Oreochromis niloticus: one gene and its partner. The protein of the gene in region 1 interacts with the protein of each later gene in a pairwise test. Links are inferred from orthologs where the notes say so. Each region holds a gene or a part of one and is shown on either strand. Other genes may lie near its edges.

Region 1 (7,690 bases):
CAAAGTATTATGTAAAAGCTGAATAAAACCTGTGCAATGTTAACATTTAGCACATAGCTGTCAAGTAATAGGGAAATATGAATTATTTGGGGGATTGTTTCACCTTGTGTTTTTTTCTATGCATGAACTATAAAAACAAAGTCCATGCAGTCATCCATATGAAAACATTTTATTTATTTTTTATTTGTTCATCTTGTCTGTGCAGTAGGAAACAAACAGTGGACTAACTTCACCAGGTTATTTATTTGTTCAGAGAAGTTGTTGATATTGCTATTCAGCAGTATGTAATAAATGCAATTGAGTGCCACTTTAAATAGTGAAATGGATAATTGAATGCACTGATTTGTGTTCATGAAAAAAAGATCTCGGTTTGAACTCAAATATAGTGTTTATGGAGTTCCCTGGATCATGATTTACATCTGGGACTGTCATAAAATACAAAAATATGACTGCTCCATCCAGCAGTGCACTATATGTGGCTACTTAGTGAATTTTAAGGCCTTCACTACTCTGGACCAGCAGTAGTCCAATTACTTGGAATTGTTAGTCTGTCACTGACCCCGCTTATCGGTTCCACTTGCACTTATCCACAGCTGATTTCAGTTCCCGTGGCAGTCTGCAGAGTGGATGTGGACACTTTTATTACTTTTATTTTTATTGCACAAAAGGAGAGAGTGGGGTGGTTAAGTGCAAACTGCATCCAGGACAGAAACAATCACTTTATGTTGCTAACATAACTTTAGCTTTTTGCAAGCACCTGCACAGACAGCATGCTAATGTTAAGCTATCCAAGAAGCCAAAGTAATGCCAAACCTGAGTGAATGCCGACCCCTGCCCAGCAGCCAGCCCCTCAACCTCAACAGGTAGCAAACTGATAAGCAGTCAGGCTGCAGCCGCGTTTTCTACCTGTTCATGTTTCTAAAGCAGAATCACTGTGGCGATCGCCTAGAAGTCTCTTTGTGCTGGTTTCCATCTTTGCTTTGTGCTGTCGGCTTCATACCTAAATACTAAGAGAAAGATCGTATGTGTACCTCATTAGGATAGGAATTTGTGTTGACCAGTGGGATTGTAGCTTATATGTTTATATTGTTTAATGGTAATAATGAGACAATACATTGTCAGTTAATGTAAAGAGTAGTTACTTTCTCCTGGGAGTAATTAAGTACTCCATTACTTTTAAGAAAACTGTTCTGTGTAATGCATTAGTTTGTAGATGCAGTTAATTTGCATGAATGTCTGATATGCTCCTTAGCGATGGCGATGGCTGGAGCCAATGAGAACCCAGTGAGAATCGATAAGTGATATTGATAATTGAATTGAAATTGCTAAATTCTTATCAATTGCCATCCCTACTTGGTATGAGCTGTTTGTGGTGCATTTTCTTCTGCATTTTGGTTATTTCTACCCAAAGGACATAGTTCCAGAAGCCTTGTAGTTTATTCTGATGCAACTATCAAACCAAAGCTGTGCTGTCATGTTCTTTGTAGAGAGAAAAAGCTTTCTTCTGACAGCCTCTCCAAACAAGTCATACTTGTTCAGTCTTTTTCTGATTGTACTGTCTTCAACATTTAGCTAAGTGAGTCCTGCAGATTCTGAGATATAGCTCCTGGGCTTTTTGCCGTTTCTCTGATTGTTGCATTATCTGATCTTGGGGTAAATTTGCTTTTACGTCCAAACCTGGGAAGAGAGTCATGTGATTTGAATCTTTTCCACTTGCGAACAATCTCTCTCAGTGCAGAATGACGAAGGTCAAATTGTTTGGAAATTACCTTATAACCCTTCTTGGATTGATGGGAAGTAACAGATGTTTGTTTAAGCTCACTGCTAAAACCTTTCCCCCTCAGCATTGTGTTAACAGACATCTGAATGTCCCAGACCAGCAAACTGACAAAATTTCTGCTTTTATGGAGGTGCTCGCACTTGCTGATCGTCAGTTAATCATGTGAACGTGATTATCAGCAACTGGCTGCTGCTTACCCTCTTAATTCTAATGGAAGCAGTAAGGCTTTACTGAGGCTTTTACTAACTGCTTTTGTATTTTAGCTTAGTCTTTGTTAAATAAGACAGTTTAGTATGTCATATGTCGTTGTTCCTCTAAGGTTTTACCTAATGTAAGAATTAAAACAGGTGTACCTTCTTTTTCACGTGACTGTACTTTGGTGATTGCCATTGAATAATATAATAATAAGGGGGAAAAACATGATGATAATGAAAAACAGTATTCAGGAGTTAAAAAAATGACCTCCAGCTCTGTCGGTTACATTGTGAAAGCCCGGCACACCCACACAGGTGTTATGAATTATTTGGGTTTCATGATATCTTAGCTGAGAAACCACTGTTGAAACTAAGCAGATTATCACAAAGGAATAATAAGTAAATTGTTAAGAAAAACAAAGTTTAACTGGATTATAAATTATAACATGGCATTAAAGAAGAAGAATGACTTGCAAATAAACTCGGGTGAGTAAGAGTGATGTCATGTCCACGCAGTTTGAAGAAGATATCTAATGAGGACAAATTGATGAAAACAATGGTGTTAATGTGCAGAATCTTTAAATTGTTGTTTATAGGGACAGTAATAACAATACAAAGGAAAACTGCTTTTGAGAGGTTATTTAGAGAGGTTTGTATGTTTTAGGCTTAACCCTCCCATATGACAACTAAAACCACTTTCATTATTCAATCCTTTTAAACAAGCCACAAGAAGACCCCGTCTCAAAGAAAGTAGGTTTTGGGAGGAAAGCGTCAGTAATTTTTTTGCAAATAGTTGTTCAAGTGGAAAAACCAGACATGTAGTGGAGAGCAGTCTGAGTTAGAGAAATGGTAAGCCAGAATTATTTTACTATTCAATACCCCTCTTTCTGCAGCTCAGTGGAGAAACACAAGCAAACACTAACTGTAGGTAATATTAAATTTCATTCTGCTGAAGCATCGTATTTCTTCAGTGGATGTCTGTGCAAATATTCTTAACACAGAAAAGGGTCTAATGTTTCTTTTGGGTTTCTTACACGGAAATGATTTTAGAAGCAAAATGAAATATCACACCAGCTTTGTATGTGAGCACATGAGAACGCTAACATGTTAACATCAAACTGTGACTTGTTATTGTAATGGTTAATATACAAACATTATTATCTTAAGTGTTTAGTAATTAATGTTTTTGTTTAAACAGCATCTCCTTCCATGTTCTTGAGTAGACAGTGAAGGAAATACTCAGATTAGTGGTTTACATTGAAGTGACACACATTTAAAATCTCACTTAATTCGTGGTGACTTAAAACATATTACATTAAAAATGTTCTTACAGTATAACCAATAACAGCAGTGCTGCAGAAAACAATGAGTCATTAAGTATGGCATTATTAGATTTTTGAGAAGAAGCAGCTGTTTATTATCATCCATACTAGGGACAGGGGTTTGCTAATATACTTTATATCAAAGACCAGCATGTTCTGCAAAGTCTGGTTTTGAAACCTTGAGCCCAGTATTTTTCCTCTCATTATCATTGCTGTTTAAAACTAGATGTCACAAGTGAGGCGTGAATCTGGCATGCATGGTGCACTTATGTTGGCAACTTATCACTTACCTCAAGCTCTAACTTCCTTGTGATGACAATCAGGACTACAATGTACAAAATGAACAGCATGTTGTTTTCAGTCAGCCTTTGAGCTTGCATTCAGGAAAGTGCTCACTGAAGCCATGGGTAACAGAAGCCAATGACTAATTATATTTATAGACTTCTCTACAAATGGACATGTTTTAAAGCTACATTTATCATTTAAACTCTGTGAGTTTGTGGGATAAATTTACTACTCACAGCTCAGACATCTATAATAATGTGTTTCCTATTTTTAACATAACATGACATAAAAATGGTAAGTTTGTAAATACAGTCTTCAAACAGTAGGGAAGTAGAAAGCAGGAGTACAAAGAACAAAAACCAGCAACAAATGGAAACATGATAAAAAAAAAAAGTATACTTAACTAAAGTGTTGTATTTGGCTACATAATCACTCACTTTAAACTGTAATTTTTAATTATTTATTTAATCTGATCACTTTCAGTTCTCTCTCACCTAAACACTAAGGTTGGCTCGCAGGGTTTGAGGAGGTCTGAGCTAATCAGCAAAGACACACACACACACACAGAGGGAGAGAGAGAGAGAGAGAGAGAGAGAGAGAGAGAGTTGTCTGCATAAGTAAACATGGCTGCCTTATAAATATAAATTGCAGTCAATGGAGGTGGAATTCCTTTGCACTCACTCACCCAGCCACTAGTCCTCTTGGCTTCACTTTGAACACACCCGCAGCAGGTGCTTCCACTTGAACTAAGTGTGCAGTTGTGTTTTAGGCTGTGACTTTCAGGTTAAGTGTAATTCTGCCAAAACCAAAAACCAACCAAACAAACAAACAAACAAAAAAGCCTGGGAAGATTTGAGGAGACCTGTGTTTGGGGCTCAGTGACAGTCATCAGCAAGAAGCCGACTGAAGGTTGCCCGCTGCCTGTTGCGCCTCATCTTCAGGCAGCAACCGGCCACTGGCTGGAAACAGCACTGCATCTGCCAGCATCCAGTCAAGTCATTGACTCAAGAACATCAGAGCATCATTGCTGGGTAAGAAGTTGCTCTCTTAAACAAGGTCTTGGATATTTCTGTAGCACAATCTTATTATAGGCCCATTATTTATAGGACATATGCTGTATATCTGAGATATGTGTGTTTGTGTGTGTCTATAGTTTTCTTAGTAGTCTTGAACAGTTCGTTTAACCTAATTAGTAACATCCAGAGATTTTGACTCTCAGTAATTAAAGGGAAAAGTTTAATTATTAAATACATCCCCTGTCTTAATGTGAAAGTTAAGAGTAAAAATATTAAAAAGAAACATTCAGACATTCCTGAACCAACTGCAGATCAGATTAAGCAAATAAATAAATACCCAGTCAAATATAAAAGGAAAAAAGAGACTGAGACCTGTTTTTCTTCTTTCATAAATCTCATGCAAATCTGAAAGTTTCCATTCAGAAAGGAAATATGCAAAATGTGGTCAGAAAAAATGCTGTTGTCAGTTAGGTACCATAAACCACAGCAATAGACTGACTTTGAAACAAACCAAAAAACCCAACAGATTTCTTTCTGCTGTCACTGTGGGATGAGACGGGGGATTTCACTGTGGTTTTAATCAAAGGTGGAAATCAAATACGACTGCAACTACCTGAGACAGAAAGAAGAGAAATTCCAAAGAGGAATAACAGAAGCGGATTGTTTGTTCTGTTTCTTCTATGGGTACAGGTGCATTTATATTCCTTTTCATGTCAAGCTAATCGATTATTTTTCAGAGGCCTTGTGACCTTGTTAGTATGGAAATGTATGAAATTACTTTTGTCTTAAGAGGTCTTACATTTTTAAAGCCAAAGTTTAAATGTAGAATCTATATAAATCTTAACAACCCTTTTTAATTCATGGCACAGATAACAAGATAGCACAGATAATCACACGTAAGGCATAACATTGTACAAACAGTGGGGTAAGAAAAACAGAAAAGACCTTTCTATTCCCCCCAAAGTTTGCTTTTCTCCCTTCATCAAAATATATAAACCACATCTCCTGATAATTTCATGCAATACTTGGTTACTTGATTCAGGAGGTTTGGTATGAAATACTGGGGCAGGTTTTTACACAATCAAATAGTAGTTCTTTCCTGGTTGTCGGACCAGGTCTGAAGTCAAAAGTGTTTTTAAAGCTTTGAAACAGATATCGTATCATATAAACACAGAAATAATGGCACACAATTTCATAGCTTTGCAATCAGTACACGTGAAAGGTAACAGTGATGATTGTGTAAAGAATGAACAAACCCTAGCTCCTTTTTCACTTCCATTGGGGGGGTGAGACCTGACTTCTCATGAACAATCTGCTGCCTCTGATCGCTCAGGAGACTCAAAATTATCCGTGATTCTCTTCTAAAGAAGCACACACAGTTTGCTGACAGTTATTTCAGATTTGCAATAAGTTTCAAACTCCGCACAAGTTAAAAAATGAAATTATATAAACAAAAAGTAAAAGATTAATGTTCCCATGAACTGGTCATATGCAAATATGAACTAGTTGCATCTAGAAAAAACCAGTTGATGGTTCAGCCAAATCCTCTACATATGCCCTGTTAGACGTACAGGATTTGTTCCTTGTTCATTCTTACATGTTTTTCTCTTCAGTGACTTCACAGCCCATTTCCCTCACACTTGCAGGATTTCAGTTATGTTGGGTCAAGTGCGAAATTTTCTGATAGTTTCTGTATTTTTTTCTTTGTTTCTTTGTTTTGTTTTTAATTTTATTCCTAGCATTTGAAAGTTAAACAGAGTGCCTGTTTGCCAGCGTGTGCTATGATCTGATAAAGTTATGAGTAGTGAATTGTGTCTCAAATAACATATATCATCACACTTTGTAAGGCAGCTGATGAAAAGGGTCATCCTTGTGTTTAACATTTAAAAAACTGGGTTTGGTTTTTTTTTTTGCTTGTTTGATTTTTTTTCTTTAATCTTGTGATGATTTACGATTTAAACCCAGCGCTCAAGAAAACGCCCGAGGCCACGTAGCGGCAGCCCTTATATCTGCCTTTGCTAGAACAGTGACAGGTTTATTTTTTTATCCCATTTTCAAGTTCTCCAATCTTTAGGTCCAACCCCAATTAAATGAGGTTTATTACCAGCATAATTAGCTCTAAGTAGCCTCTTTGTCAAGATTAATTTAGACCAACATCAAAGCCATTTTCCTTGGATATTGGCTTAATGCCTGCACACCTGACTAACAGCAGATATGAATCACCATACATCCCCTAGCAGTGTGGGTGGTTGGAAAAATTTGTTAAAAACAGAGTTTAATGGGATCAGTATTATAAGGCAGTGTAGGTACAAGCACACGAAATAAACCTTTATTGCATTTCATAAAATAAGCACATAAACTGAAGCTAATTTATAACGTGAACAGAGCACCTGCACATGTCACTGCTGCAATAAAAATTCCCTAAGGGAGCAATCTGCAGATCTAAATCTCCTCCTCCAACCAGCAGGCGTTTCTTTGCAGAGCAACAGTCATACTAAGTAAGAAGAAGATGAAATTCCTTCCGTTTTTCTCTGAACAATGACTTCATGAGTGGGTCCAAATTTCCCATGAGGAACAATAACAGGGAAAAAACAGGGGGTGGGGGAGTGTCACATGGCAAACAGTCACTCTTGGCTGTATACGCTTCTTTAATACCAGACTGAAACACTACCAGCATAACACTCAGTGTGTTTTGATTATGCCTTGATAGATGGCATCAGATCTAATCTCTGACCTTTTCTCTTTTTTTGGTGCTTGAATGGATTCATCCAAGTTAAACAAGACGAGACATTTGGAGTTGTTTTAATCACTACTCATTAACTATAAATTAAACACTTACCTGTCTTCTTTCACAAAACTGTTCAACAATGCTGAGTTGGCTCGCAGGTTAATATTTAGCTAGATTGGCTCCACTGGTTTGCAAATTTCACCACTTTCATTTTAGGAAAAGAATTTTTCCAGATAAAAATATGACCTACAGGTTGGGCAAAAGGCAGTTTAGATTTTAAAAAAAAATCTCTTCACGCAGCTGTAACCATACAAAACTTAAGGCAGTGATACAAACTTCACCTCACATAATCACCGTATTTATGT
Region 2 (6,703 bases), on another chromosome or scaffold:
AGACTTCAGTGAACACGATTTACAAAGGGTCTTTATATACAATTTAAAAATCAGTTGTTCAAGTATCTTTATGACTGTGTCTTATTGCACCTATACATTATAACCAATCCGGTCTTTTTTGGCCACGTAAATATTGTTTACAGAACTATTGTTATATTTGTTGCCATTTCTTCTTCTTATTGGCCAGATTACTCTTAAAAAGACATTTTTAATATTAACGAGACGTTTTTATCTGGATAAATAAAGTGCATATATATAAAAGTCACTTTGCCAAAAACTGATTGCGGTGTCTACCTTGTGACAGGAATGTTGTTTGTGGCTCAAGATGGCTTGATATCATTCATGAATGACACATTTGGGATATATTTCACATATTATATGGCAACAAGTTATTTATAGCAGTTTAATTACGACCAATCACTGTTTGGCAAATACAAAAATTACAAATATTTTAATGTAGTTAGCACGGTAAAAACGGATTCAAATCAAATCCATTACTTTTGGCTTTTCTTTATAAGTGTGCATTTTTAAAACGACTAATGTTGCGTGAGCTTTTCATAAAAATGCAAACTCCACAAATTGACCAGTGCAAAATGAACGCGTAAAATACCCACAGTGCCCTCTAATGCGGCAGCAACAAGCAATGGGACAACCAATCCTCTACCTCTATGTAGTCTATCCTTAAGTATAAAGACATGCAATATGATGACTTCATATAAAGTATGTTTTAAAAATAGGTTTAATGTACTAAACTGCTTTTTAATTATTCGGTTTTTTTTTTTTTTTAAATTTCTCCGTGACTTTTGAGTGGAGCTTTAAAAAATAAAGAAAGAAAAAAACTTATTATATAAATTTGAAAGACTTTGTCACCCAGTTTTCCAGGATGAGCTCAAAAACGACAGCGTACCTTGTTAGGAACCTTTAAGTGTAACTGGTTGTGGCGTTGTCGTCTGCCGGGTTTATCAAAGAGAGCCATCAAACAGCTAATGGATGAAGTGACATCTGACCTGACAGCGCTGCTCTATCAAAACTCAGCTCATTATTGCCCCATTCACAAATCCGCTGATAAGGCCGGAGAGCTTGTCCTGTCCCGGGGCTCTGCTTGGTAAACAAACCCGCAGACAGAGTGGCTCTTTAACTTTTTCAAACTTTCAATCAAGTGGGAAACAGTTCCAGTCTGACGTGTCGTGTATCGACGAGCCACAGGCAGGTGAGCGCCAATCAAACCCCCAAACACAGATTTGTGTAAAATAAAATTCAGTTATTTTTGATCATTAAAGTCGTCTCTTTACACCTCTACAGTAATAAAGTGTGGCATTAATTTAAAATTATAAAATCATAACGTCAAATCCATCAGAGATATATTTCAACGCGACTCGTTCCGCGTCAAAATCACTTTTATTTTATCACGTGATTGGAGGAAAAATGGGTTTGTGTCATTTATTGCGCGTGAACGCAGAGAATAAACACCTCTCAGAGAAGACACACGGGCTGAAGGAGCATCTCTGCATAGATAAGGATGAAGCTGTAGACAGAGAGGAGACCAAGAGAGATCAGATAATGACTCTATGTGTGCGTGTGTGTGTGTGTGTGTGTGTGTGTGTGTGTGTGTGTGTGTGTGTGTGTGTGTGTAGAAGGGCTTTGCAGAAGTTATGTTAATGGTGTATGCCTTTAAAATGTAACTTTAAAAATATATATAGGTCTCATTCTTCTTAATAACACCAGTAAATAAATACATTTTATTATAGATCACGTGTAGCCATAACCTTTGGTGTGAACTATTTTAATTTTAATTTAGAAGCATAAAGAAAAGCCTTAAAATGACGTAACCCTGTGATCTCATGACACCGTAACCGTCTTTCAACTGAAGTAATTGGTTAGATAAAGATTTTTTTTAAATGACATTCAGCAACATCTCACTAATGAATAGTCAAATCTGTGTCTTTTCAGAGAGGAAAACTGTGAGCTCATGCGCAGTACCTGTGCTTTGTTTTGAAAAGGTGGAAAGGGAGTTTTTCTTTTCTCCTCGTCCACATAAAAGGTGCTTGATTACACTGCTTGTGATGAGGGGCAGTTTAAATAGAGAATGACGTGAGTCTGACCATCGCTTGAAGAGACATTATGGTTTCCAAAATCCACAAAGGGTTTAAGTCATGCTGTGGTTAGAAAGAAAGATGCGTCCCTGACTATGTCAGAGACTTCAAATGTCAGTGTGATGATGAAATGATGAACTGTTGTCTATGATTGCGCAGGAGCTCATGCACATTGCAACAACTCGCCTAAACAAAACTAAGAAGCTGTTGAATTTTGTAGCTGAGCTGGTTGTAGACGAAATAACAGTCCATGGTACATAATCCCTCTCCTTTAAAGTAGGTGTCAGACTGGCTTTAAAGCTCCCTCTAGTGGAAAACACTAGAATTGCATATACATAGCGCAAAACTATCTCACATAGGTCAAAGATAAGTTACTTTAATTTTCCCTTCACTGAATTTGGAGAAGAAAAAAATGGTTCATAGTTAGTAAATTCAGAGTAATTGTTTCTTTATCATTTACTTTTTTGTGCAAACTTTAAACTGACCTGTTCCCTCTGATGACATATTGGTTATGTCACACACTTTACAAAGAGGATTCTTGTGCAACAGCCAGTCGTAGGGTACAGTATAAAACAACTCTGATGCTGAGCAGATAAGAAGACAGAATGCTGACAAATCTGCTGCTGCGACAAGTCCTCGCAGTCATCATCTCAGATAATGAAACAGCAAGAAAATAACAGAAGATTGATGGCACAAAAACTTTTGGTGGCTCAAAGAAAACATCGTCACCACTGCACCGGGGAGGACAAATGCCTTTCTAGGCTGAAAGGTCAGCAGCTCTCTTATGTTACCTCTGATGCACATCTAGATAACCATGCCATGACTGTCTAGGACAGAGTGATTATAGAGGGAATGCCATTGTTCGGAGCAATCATGTCGATTGTCACAGAATAAGGGTGGTGGATGACTGCACAGAGTCTTAAAAGAACCACTTCAATCGTAGGACTTCCCCTCCCCACACAGCCCAGGCGCTCGCTGTCCATGCTGACCTTGTTTTTGCTTATGTCATCAGACAAGTATGTGAGGTTTCTTATTCTGTCAAGCATCGTTATAACCACAATCAAATGTTTTTTAGATGGTGAAATAAAAGTGACATATGCCTGAAATAAATGCAATGTATGCATTTCTAGTAGAAAGTCATTTTGCACACAGCTGTAGTGTGGTTTCGCTTGGTTCCACGTTCAGTACAGTATGATCCAAAAATAAACGTAAGGAGTTTTACGAGGAACAAACCAACTATGTCTAGACAAAAGTGGGATTTTCTGTGCTTACAGTTCAACATACTTTAACAGGCAGACGGTCGCATGCAAAGATTTCATGGTGAGACAAATCAAACATTTAATCTTAATACGCTGTTGACAAGACAGCAGGTAATGCAAACGAGGAACCTCAAGAGATTACACACAGATAGCTTTCATAAATGATTATCCACAACACAGGAAAGAAAGTGACAGACATGACTTAGTCTGGTGATAATATTTATCTATATATTAAACATATAAGGCTGTATATTCATATACAGTGTATAATGCATACAGTGATGCAGTTTAAGTGCTGCTGATAATAGTAGCAGCCATCAGTGTGATGTAAGTGTGTATTTGGCAAAGAGAAGCTGGTGGAGTCAGCGCCATCAGGGGCCACGGAGAGGACTGTGTTTGTCATACCAACATTCACGCATTTCCAAATGAAGCATGAAATCCCAGAGCAACTCCGACACCGCCTGTAAACATCTTAGTGGACGGAGAAAGGTCAGGCCGGACTGCAGAGAACAACAAATAAACAGCCGTCAAACAATGAGCGTGTCCATTCAGGAGCCGGCCTAAATGTGTCCAACTCATTAGTGCTTCAGGAGGCATGACCACCCACTCTGACCCCAGCCACTGGCCCCCACCCACCCCCGCTACTGGCACATTTGTCTCGCTGAAGCCAATGGGTTACAATACTGAGCTGATGGAGGGCTCACTGCGAGACTTTTTAGTGTGTCTGGAGCAGGTAGCTCTGTCCCTCCTTGTGGACTCAAACTTCTTCCACAGAAAGACTAAACACACTTTGTGAACATGCAATGCTTGCTTTTCTGATACAGGTTTATTGGCTAAGTTTGGATGTCACTCAGTTATCTCTGGTAGGAATAGATCATAGCTAAAAAAGTACATTGCCAACATGTACCCATTATATTTTTCTTGTACAGAAATGAGTTTCTAATCATTTTGTTTGAGTTTAGATCACATATTAGACACCTTTCTGCACATGTGTATAAGTAGAACCACACCAGACTGTTTTTCCATTTAAACATAAAAGCATGCATAAAGACACCTACAAATATTTAAATTAATCTTTTTACAATCAACCTAAAGTTGTTTTTTTTCTTTTACACGGACATGTTTGAATTTTTAAAATCTTTCTCTATACAGATCACTTCTAAAATAAAAAGGATGAGTACTTCTTTTTGTATGTTTTTATGGACTTGATATATTGCAGCAGAGCTGAGTAGGAACCTTGAATGAAAGTTAGTGAAAGTAGAAGTAAACTTTAGCCGTCCCGCCTCCTTAACCCGTCTGTGCAGTCTGAGCCCGCCCCTGCCATTGTATAAATTCAGACTGTGTAAGTGTGTGAGGACTCACAGTGCTTCAGCCACTTCTCCCACTGCGCCTCTGATGCACCGAGAGTCCTCGGATTTCTGGAATTACCGGCTGGAAATGTCTGACTCGGCCAAACCACTGACTTCCTTCCTCATTGAGGACATCCTCTCCAACAAGGACAGCGCGCGATTTAATGATAAATGCTGCTCGCAGAAGGAGGAAAGATGTTCGCAGTGGAATGAAGAACCAGGAAAGTTTTCACCACATTTCTGTCTTCAGGAAACAGCCTTTGGATTACAGACAGGTGAGCGTCTGCAGGCTTCCAGCAGCAGGGTTGCTGTGCTTAGATAAAGTGACCAAATCTGTTTGATGTGTGTTGTTTACTGTGAATAATGTGCAGAATGATGCAGAGTAACAACAAAAGACTTGCTTTAAAATTTTAATTTGTAATGGCAGCTGCTTATCTCACAATGATCACAAACAAGTTCACAAAGCCTGCTGTAAACCAGTTTACCTGTTTAACGACTGGATCTCATCTGTGCTTCACAGAATCTCTGGACACATCGTGTCCCAGCTCCTCAGAGTCAACTTTGCCCTCTCCCGGAAAGCAGAAGCGCTCCAGAGCTGCGTTTACACACCTCCAAGTGCTCGAACTGGAGAAGAAATTTAATCACCAGAAATACCTGTCGGCCCCAGAGAGAGCTCAGCTGGCCAGAACCTTAAGACTAACCGAGACCCAGGTGAAAATCTGGTTTCAGAACAGGAGGTACAAAACGAAGCGGAAGCAGCAGACATCAGAGTTTTGTAAGGATTTGTACAAAGCAGAAGGACTGGGTCTGAAAGAGGATTCGGTCAGATCATCACTGATCACTTCCTTCTACAAAGCCTACCAATACAGACCCTACCTGTGGGACTACAGTGGCCCCTGGGGCCCAGTGTTATGGTGAAAATAAATGTATAACTATAAAGTTTATCATCTCCGAGCTTCTAAAATCTATGTTCACTGTCACAGTTGATTCTTTGTCAGATTTGGAATACGATGTTTGCTCATGTGTTGACTTTATCCATCTCGTGGAGTGAGTTCGCTCATGAAAATGTGCTATCGTACAAATCTTGCTGTATGGATATGACATGGGTTTGCACAGCCAACTTGTGACATTGTTGATTAATAAATTATTAATAAATTAATGCTTATACATTTAACCTTTGTTAAGAGTGCTTATTTTTTAAAAAAAATGAAAATAATAATAATTTGGTGCTTTGGGGAATTTCTGATCTAATTACAGGGCAATGTTTTGTAGAAATGATCAAATATACATTTACCACAGTTTGTATAAAAGCTGTGTGGATGACTTTCAAACAGTCACTCTGGCATTAAGTGTGAGGTTAAAGTGAAACTTTCTGCTGAGTGCTCTCAAGCTGAAAAAATTTCGAGCATTTGCATGAAGTTAAACTCTGATAAAATTGCAGTTGGTGTCAATGAAGGCGAAAGAATGAGACCTGACTTCTTCAAAGAGCTGATGCCCTGATTGCAAAGAGATAAACTGCTCTTTCTAGAGACAGCACCACATGGAAAACGAGTGGAAACAAAACAGTAAGAGAGTCAGCTAAGCGAATCATTTTTTAACATCACACATTCCAGATGCTTAAACATGCTGACATAAATACAAATACAAAGGCTGGCCAAGAGGCATCTTTGTTTAAATCAGAGATAAACGGAGCTCCGTGAGGCATCGAGTTCAATCAGCAGTTGTCAGCTTTGCTTTCTTGAAAGCGGGGCTTGACGAGGTAAAGCTGTCATGTGGCTCACCTCCTGCATGCCACGGTGATTGTATAGTATACCTGGCAGTTGGTAGATAATAAAGTAAGAGAACATGTTTCTTAAGGTATGTTCTGTGCGATGTATAACAATAAGCTAGGATAACGCACAAAATGTGATGTACACTTCAGATTTGGGCACATTTTGTGACCCCTTTTGGGAAGCTTTGGTGTGATTATAGCCCTGTACACTCATGGATGTAACACATACTA

Evidence for each region.
Region 2: the proteins of spdef (region 1) and nkx3-1 interact in a two-hybrid assay, tested with the Homo sapiens proteins (2 studies listed by BioGRID). The link is inferred for Oreochromis niloticus from reciprocal best matches to the Homo sapiens genes SPDEF and NKX3-1.

Annotation. Positions count from the first base shown.
Region 1 is NC_031970.2:9,854,811-9,862,500, reverse strand, and holds the start of spdef (SAM pointed domain-containing Ets transcription factor), read left to right. Parts: upstream 1-4,239; 5' UTR 4,240-4,612; intron 4,613-7,690. UniProt on the Homo sapiens protein: May function as an androgen-independent transactivator of the prostate-specific antigen (PSA) promoter. Binds to 5'-GGAT-3' DNA sequences. May play a role in the regulation of the prostate gland and/or prostate cancer development.
Region 2 is NC_031977.2:13,889,170-13,895,872, forward strand, and holds nkx3-1 (homeobox protein Nkx-3.1), read left to right. Parts: upstream 1-4,691; 5' UTR 4,692-4,747; coding exon 4,748-4,976; intron 4,977-5,221; coding exon 5,222-5,619; 3' UTR 5,620-5,897; downstream 5,898-6,703.